2 linked regions of the Styela clava genome follow. The protein of the gene in region 2 interacts with the protein of the main gene of each other region in a biochemical or structural test. Links are inferred from orthologs where the notes say so. Each region holds a gene or a part of one and is shown on either strand. Other genes may lie near its edges.

Region 1 (3,935 bases), about 130 kb from region 2:
ACTTGATTGGCACTCTAATTACAATTTATTGAAGGCTATCAAAGTTACTCAAGCCATCTAAATGAAACGACTTGTACTCAGCTAATCGACAGTGAGACTTATCTCAACGAGAGACAGTGGCGTAGCGTAGCCAGGAATATTCAAAGAGAGAGGGATCTGAAAATTTCTAATTGCCAAGTTGAACCGTATGAGTCAGGCGGCCGGAAAAGTGTCCAAAAAGTACTTCAATCTATGAAAAATTGGTGTGTATGATACAGAAAATCAAGGTCTTTGTTCCAATACTGCTTTGAATCACATGACTAATATACCTGTTGTTATAGCTTGATTGGATGAAATGCAAGCTTGTGATACAGTATGTGCTGGAATTTTGTTAGAGAATCCTGCACCAAGAGCTGCTTCTCTTGCTATATTAGGAGTTTTTGCTTCCTGCAATATAAATCTGTTATTTAGTATCTGTTAGTACCTGTTATTACAGACTTATTTGCTGAAAAGTAATATTAAAATTAGGAACATTGTAAAAGATGAAAATCTTGCGACAAAATCTTTGAAATTTATTTAAACAGGAAGAATTTTGAAAAATATCGAAAATATTCTGAGTACCAAGTATAGACTTTGCATTCTAGCCATTAATTACCTGAATTACTGTTCCTACTGTAATGTAATCAACATCAGTCGTAGAAATTCCAGTTCTTTTCAGCAATCCGAGCATCGCTTCCCTTGCAAGGTCATGAGGCATGAGATTTTTATATCTGGATAAAATGATAGCAATTGTAACTTGTAGTTTGGCTTGACAGTTAGAGCATCATGCTAAGTATTAAGACTATGCTTGCAGTAGCACCTCTTGCTAACACTTTATAAGGGGTTTATTATGAGTAACAGGAGAGATATCTTAAAAGATATCTTAAGGACATGAAAGATTGGCGGAAAAACTGGGTGAAATATTGGGTCGCATGGGTCTCCGAGAAAATTTGAAAAAAAATAAAAAGCTTTTTAGTGTCACTACCCATCTGTGAGTGATAAAAATTTGTAATCGTTCATTCCTGTGGGGCATCAGTTGCAGAGATGGGCAATTTTTCTACAATAATAATAATATATAACCTATCTATTTAAACATTCTGGACTAGTAAATGGATCGTATAAAATATGTTACAATTATACTTACTGAGTTCCTGACATTAAAAAAGGTGTTCGAACTCCTTCAACTAATACAATATTTGGTTTCCCACTTTGTGACAATGTTTTCTTTGATTTTGCCGCAGCTGCTATGTGAATTGAACATCCAAAACATCTTGCTGAAACTGTCAAAAAAAAACAAATATAATAAAGCTTGTATTAAATCTAGTAATATAGTCTATGTCGAAGTTGAGAAGGGTAGAAAAATAAGCAGTCTTCCATATGAAAATAGGACTGATATGTATATCGATATCTCCATTGCAACAAATTAGTTTATATGACATTTCATAGTCGCAAGTCGCAACCCTCCGCTGTTAGTTGAGTGCACTTGGTTTCAATCTGAGGGATCTTGCATAAAAAGATATGAATAACGCATGTAAAAATATATGTATTTTAACTAAGGCAGGGGTGTGCAACCTTTAATACTGGCTGGAAGGCTAGATATGAATAACTGGATCTGATTTAACAAAGGTTTTTTAGTAGTTGCAGACACAAAAACTTTGGTAATTGATCTTATGACATGCGTTGTTCGCAAAATCTCAGGTATTGGACTCAGGAATAGGCTTTGCAATGCAAAAGAATTGGAATTTCTCACACATACTAAATTAAATTAAAAACTCCTCTCGCTGGCCGCACACCATTTAAAATTGGCACTTCATCGCTGGCCGCACAATTTTTCCTCGTGGGCCGCAGGTTGCACACCCCTATGCAAGGCTTTAGGACTGAACTATGATGATCATATTGTAGTTCATTGGGTTCAAATTCCATGCCCAACACCTCACCCAGGGTGTAAAAATTTGAGAAAATGCTGAACCCGAAAGATTCATGTCGTCCAAATCATAGTAGTTCCTTACAGTTACAGTGGCTACTTGTGTAGGGCCTTGTTTATAGCAAAAAACATGAATAAGTCATATAAAAAAGAGGGTGGCACAATAACATTTCAAATAAAACTCCTACCTTGAAAAAACGGCACTTTGTTGAGATTTGCTTTATTGAGTGTTCTTCCTATGCCAGCCATTTTGTTTAAAATTATCCTACAATAGAACTAGATTGGAACTTAAACTAAAATAGAGAAATGAATAAATTATGATTATAATAAATTAATCCACTCATTTTTTTCAAACTTAATAAAAAGACATGATTGCATAAATTATGAAATTTTTCAGCATGAAGCTGCTCGAAGTAAGATTACAATAGATCATTCAAAAAGTCTTAACATCAACACTTAATAACGAAGGAGAATAAAATTATGCACATGTATGATTTTCACTGATAAATTTGAACTTGGTACTAAAAAAGGGGTACTCCCGAAGTATGTGAACCAAGATGGCGAACACCGGAACGTAGTATGTAATAAGGAAAATTGGAATAAAATTATGGTCCAACTCTAACCTGGTACACATGCTACTTTCCGGTGTCTGCCATCTTGGATCACATACTTTGGGAGTACCAAATAAGGTACAAATGATTCGCAGAATAAGGACATAAACATTTGATAAAATAATTCAATACAAACAAAACTCAAATTGGCACCAATTTGCCAAGAATCAAAAGTTTGTAATTAATTGACTTTTCTTTTCAAATTTTACAAAGATGACAATAGATTGGATTATTTTAAACTAGAAAATATTTTATAATCACGTATGGTCATATATGCACCAACAATGTCATGCTTATGCAACAAATGCCTGTATCTTAATAACTAACTGATCGGAATTCTAGAGTAAAAGTCAACAAAAGCACCAATGTTACGAATCAAACCAAGTCAATATATTTATTAAAAATTGGTTTTATTTTATAAAATCATAATATTCCTGTATTATCAAAATCAATACAAGGTTATATTAGTTTTGAACATGGGACAATCTAGCACACATCCAATATTTCAGATTTCAATATTACTGTGTTGAACTGTAGCAAAAATAAATTATTATGCTAATGTTGCTCTTTGTTGTCTTCGCAGATCCCATAAGGTCGAATTTGGAAGATCCGTATCATTAGATTCCAAATTATTCAACGATTTCCCAGTAAAGTTCTGGCAAATTTCGATATATTTCTGACGCTCTGTACTTGACACAGAAGGACCTGCAGATTCCAAAGCATTCTCGATATCTTGATTCGAAACTGCTAACCTTGAAATTTGTCCTTGCTCAGAGTCAGTTCCATCAAAAGATATTTTCGTTTCATCACAATTGCGATCTGACACTGTTTCAATAATTTGACGAATCTGTTCAGGTAATTTACCTTCTTCCATTTTTGAATATAAAGAAGGGAAGTAAATTCCGCGCATTGAAGACTTTTTACTGTGAGAACTTCGGTCATCTAACTGGTGTAAGTCACTAGAGCTGTATTCTGGTGACGATAAACCATAACAAATTTTATACTCATTACTCTTTGAATTTGTTTTATTGGTTGAGCCATTTTCAATAGATTTGACTAAATTTTTCGCTGTTTTTGTGAAATCTGAAATAGTGACTTTAGGAATGCCTGTTGATGAATCTGAATCCATATCTTCATCTTTTAAGTCATGGTGTAAAGATTTTATTCCATTACTACTGTATTCTTCATCTAATTCAAATCCCCCCAAAGAAATCGGAGGTGAAATGGAAGAAAAAGGCTCGGTTGATTCAATTTTAATAGTACTTTCTAGCTCATTGGTACTATAACCATGTATTGCATTGAGTTGTGCATCGTAAACCAATGCACGTAAATCCGCACCTGTGAAATATTTACAGCGAGCTGCGATCGCTCTAATATTTACA
Region 2 (3,935 bases):
CAATTCAAGAGTCTTGCTGCACACTAATACAAATGTATTTCTGTAACGTTTCAAGCTCATCTGAGAAAGTCAGTCTTTGGTCAGACGAAACCTTACAGAAATACACACATTCAAAAGTGTTAAATGCATTTGAACAGATATTATTTCATGGTGGTGGTTATACCAAAAAATCTCAATGGAAAGGTCAAAACGAACCTCCTGAGATGAAGGCATTGTGATTTCACACCATGTCCCCAGCATGATCCAAAATGAAAGAGGTAATATTCAGATGCTTTAATAAATACATGATGATGAATAAAACAAGTATATATATATATTCGACGCAATTTAAAATCTAAATCTCTCAATTCATATTTTGGGATTTAGATTAGGGAGGTGTTCACTTCACCCCTGACCCCAATAGTTAGTTACCGTAACTGCACATGATATTTGGTAGTTCCATAGTAAGGAAATTTTCATTCTCCAATACAGGGTATATCGGGTTTTTAGTATTGTATTCATAGTATTTTATCACACAAACCTTGGCATCTTGTGAATCAAGCCGTAATATAGCAACGTCATTTTGAACTTCAAAAGTGATGTGTTTACCTGCAAAAACAGCATTTACAAGCATACATAATATGACATATAATATAATCACTGCCAAAATGTTTGAATTGAAAAAAAAATTTAGCAATCTGCATGTCAAAAGTAAGGGTCTCCAGATGTACGCTTGCTAAAGTATAGCTACAATTGTCCAAAATGGCATTTGAACCGACTATAATGAACTCACTAATGTCAGCAATCTCTCTCTTAACGATATCGTTATGTCGAGAAAAACGAGAGAAATAGCTTGCTCAATTCTGAATGACTGTCTGCGTGACCATTCGTATACTTTGAGGGCCGTATTACGGCACTGCGACTTCGCAGTGATGAGATTTTTGAATGGCGTAGTCAGGTAGGGGTTTGGAATGTGATATGCAAAATTTGTTGAGCCAGGCCAACTAGAAGTACTTCAGGAGACCCGAAAATAATACCTTTCAAATGCAAGAACACCACACTGGCATACTTAAGTTTCCAATGCAATTTCCATGTTTGGCCTACATATTTCAAGACAATCAAGAATATAACATTTGAGTGAATAGTTGTAAGAATAATACAGTACAGCACAGTTTTCCGATTCCAAGAATAACCCCCACATTGAAGAAATCAATTATAATAGCCAGTACAAATCCCTTCTTTACGAGACAGTGTGGGTCTCCATATCAGTATCGACAAACCAACCTTGTGCAATAAACTAAAATCAAAGGAAGCGCAATCGGGATTGCTCGAAAAATATAATCCAATTTACCGAAGGAAATTTTTTTTACCATAATGCCCAAATTTTTCTCACATGGAGGCCGCGATTAATTTAGATTATTACAGAGAAAAGCATGGCGTAATCTGACCCATCTGCAGTTGTGCCAGACGCCCTCGTTTCAGGAACAAATAGACTTTTTGTTTTATTGAACAAAATATCGTAAAATCTTGGGTTTGTTTGGGGAACCGTGCCCTACTGAATAAACTTCTTGTCTGGGGTTAAATCAACCAGATTCGATAAGTTATCTCACCATTCATTTGGGATGAGGTTGACAGATATCTATTTGCTGAACCTGGAAATATAAAGTAGAAATTATACATGTGCTCCAAATCATGGCATATATCACATAGAGACATACACTAAAAATATACCTGTATACAGGCAGACAGGTGTGGTGATATACCGGTATATGTTAATATAGAAATATTATTTAATTGGTCTGATAGAGGAAACAGTTAGCATAACCACATTAGTCCACTTATTTCAGTACTTACAGACTTATTACCGTGTTAAGCAAAATCTTCAAAAAAATTTATCAATTCAGTACCATAGTTTTTGGACTACCATGATGCAGATGCATGTTATTTTAATTTGTAAATTAATGAATGTTGAATAAAAGAAAATTCAGCAATCCAGTAATAGTGAGATCCACAGATTGTATCAGAATATAAAGTGCTTTGAGTAATCTGCATTTGTCAATATGAAATACTGAATATCAGAATACGGGAGATTAGAATAAGTCAGAATGCAGGAATGTGCGAAACAACAAATGAATACAGAATCTTACCAGTTACAAATCTATCCACTGTTCTTCGTAAAACGGTATTTCGACTTAAGGATAGACATCTTATAATTGAAGACATCGTGGAGCATTGGGGAATCTTCGCGAACTATCGTAGAAAATACCACTGAAGAAAAACTGAAAAACCAACAACAAATATAAAAAAACACAAGAATCCGCAAGCAATTCGCAACGAATCCCCAAAGGTCAAATGGTTAAGCCGGCATATATGATGTCATGCGTGCAATTATTACGTCATACGGAGTAACATATTCTTAGCAAATACTGTCTTATCTTACCGTTTCCTATTTTAAGATTAGTCTAAGAAATCGTATCTTTAATTAAATCAAAATATAAAATAATAAATATACGATATATTTATAAGATGTTTCATTATGGAGAAGAATTTTTTAAGTGTAAAGTCCAAAGGTTACCATTACCTTTGCGCAATGTCACATTTCGAAACTGCATTGTTCTGCTAGTTGCCCCACAAGAAGCAGCGCCCAAACTAATATTGAATTTTAACTTTTGTTGTTTATTTCTTTCTTTTTGTTTACTAATCTAAACAGAAGCTTATCACTATGTTATAATTAGAATTCGCATATTGCCACTGGCATCGTCACATAATTCTCGTTCTAACCCCTTGCGCTCACCAGAATTTTTTACAAGGAAACTTCGCCGTGAATTTTATTTTCACGTACTCATATATGCCGGTTGACTTTATTCTTTCGCTTCAGTGAGGGTGTCGTGGGATTTTTCTTGTCACTTGTGTGAGTGAATGAACACAAGCGATGGCTACACAACACTCGTTAGCCTATAAACCTTTTTTATGTTTTGCGTATCTTTTCAATCGGAATAAAGTTCCGGGTTTGTTTCTCACTGGTCGTTTCGTATACCGGTACTTCTGGCCCAGCGACTCTTAGGCAGTCTTCCGATCGCATGTTTGATTTTAAAGTCAGCTACAAGTCTGACCATCCAAAACAAATAACTGATTTCCTATTCCCAAGTTATATTTATACTTCAGGAACATGCAACAGGTGCACATTCAATGTAATATTTGGCGAGGATGCGACGTTTACAACAATGTTGACCATACAACTTTCGACTGCTTCGTGAAAAACAGGTCTTGACAATAGCAAATGTTCAAATTAAACGGCTGAGTGGCAGGGCTGCCAAGATGAAATCCAAGGGATTTTTATCACAAAACTGGAGAGAGCAATATAATTGTATAAATTATACGTACAATTTTTTTTTAGTAAATTCCTATTTTATATATTTTTTAATGTTTTGTTTTTTAGTCTAGATGTTTTTTGAGGTCAAACTAGATGTTTTTATTCAGACAAAAGTGGCAGCCCTGTTGAGCGGTAGGCCTATATCAATTCAAAACATCGCTTCAGAGACCGTGACAAGTGTCGAGGTATTATTATCCCCGAATGCAGGGCAATTGCGGCCGTGCTCCCTGGGAAACAAGAATCATGACATAATCGGCGTTTCAGGGTCGTCTCTCGTCTGGCAATGCTCTAGTTTGGATCACACGGATAACAGCTCACGACTATCCACGTAGAAAAACTGTCAGCCTCGAAATGTTACTCGAAAATGGCATCATCGGAATCAACCCGTTTATGAGATATTTTTTTCATTTTAGGATTCAGCTCGTTTGAAGTAGGGCTTGGAATGATTTATTGGTTAACCGATTTTAGATTGTTAACGGTTACGAATTATTTAAACTGACATATCAGTTACAAATCACCTTTATACTGTACGATTTTTTTTTAAATGGTTAGTTCATTGTACCTGTTTTTTGATTAGGTTTTT

The links.
Region 1: the proteins of trifunctional enzyme subunit alpha, mitochondrial-like (region 2) and trifunctional enzyme subunit beta, mitochondrial-like are reported together in a solved structure, tested with the Homo sapiens proteins (2 studies listed by IntAct, with this or other methods). The link is inferred for Styela clava from reciprocal best matches to the Homo sapiens genes HADHA and HADHB.

The regions. Positions count from the first base shown.
Region 1 is NC_135264.1:2,221,745-2,225,679, reverse strand, and holds the start of trifunctional enzyme subunit beta, mitochondrial-like, read right to left. Parts: upstream 2,311-3,935; 5' UTR 2,192-2,310; coding exon 2,131-2,191; intron 1,299-2,130; coding exon 1,163-1,298; intron 750-1,162; coding exon 635-749; intron 427-634; coding exon 309-426; intron 1-308. Other genes in the region: peroxisomal ATPase PEX1-like, read right to left, coding at 3,104-3,935. UniProt on the Homo sapiens protein: Mitochondrial trifunctional enzyme catalyzes the last three of the four reactions of the mitochondrial beta-oxidation pathway.
Region 2 is NC_135264.1:2,096,261-2,100,195, forward strand, and holds the start of trifunctional enzyme subunit alpha, mitochondrial-like, read right to left. Parts: upstream 2,325-3,935; 5' UTR 2,203-2,324; coding exon 2,127-2,202; intron 1,632-2,126; coding exon 1,590-1,631; intron 589-1,589; coding exon 521-588; intron 1-520. UniProt on the Homo sapiens protein: Mitochondrial trifunctional enzyme catalyzes the last three of the four reactions of the mitochondrial beta-oxidation pathway.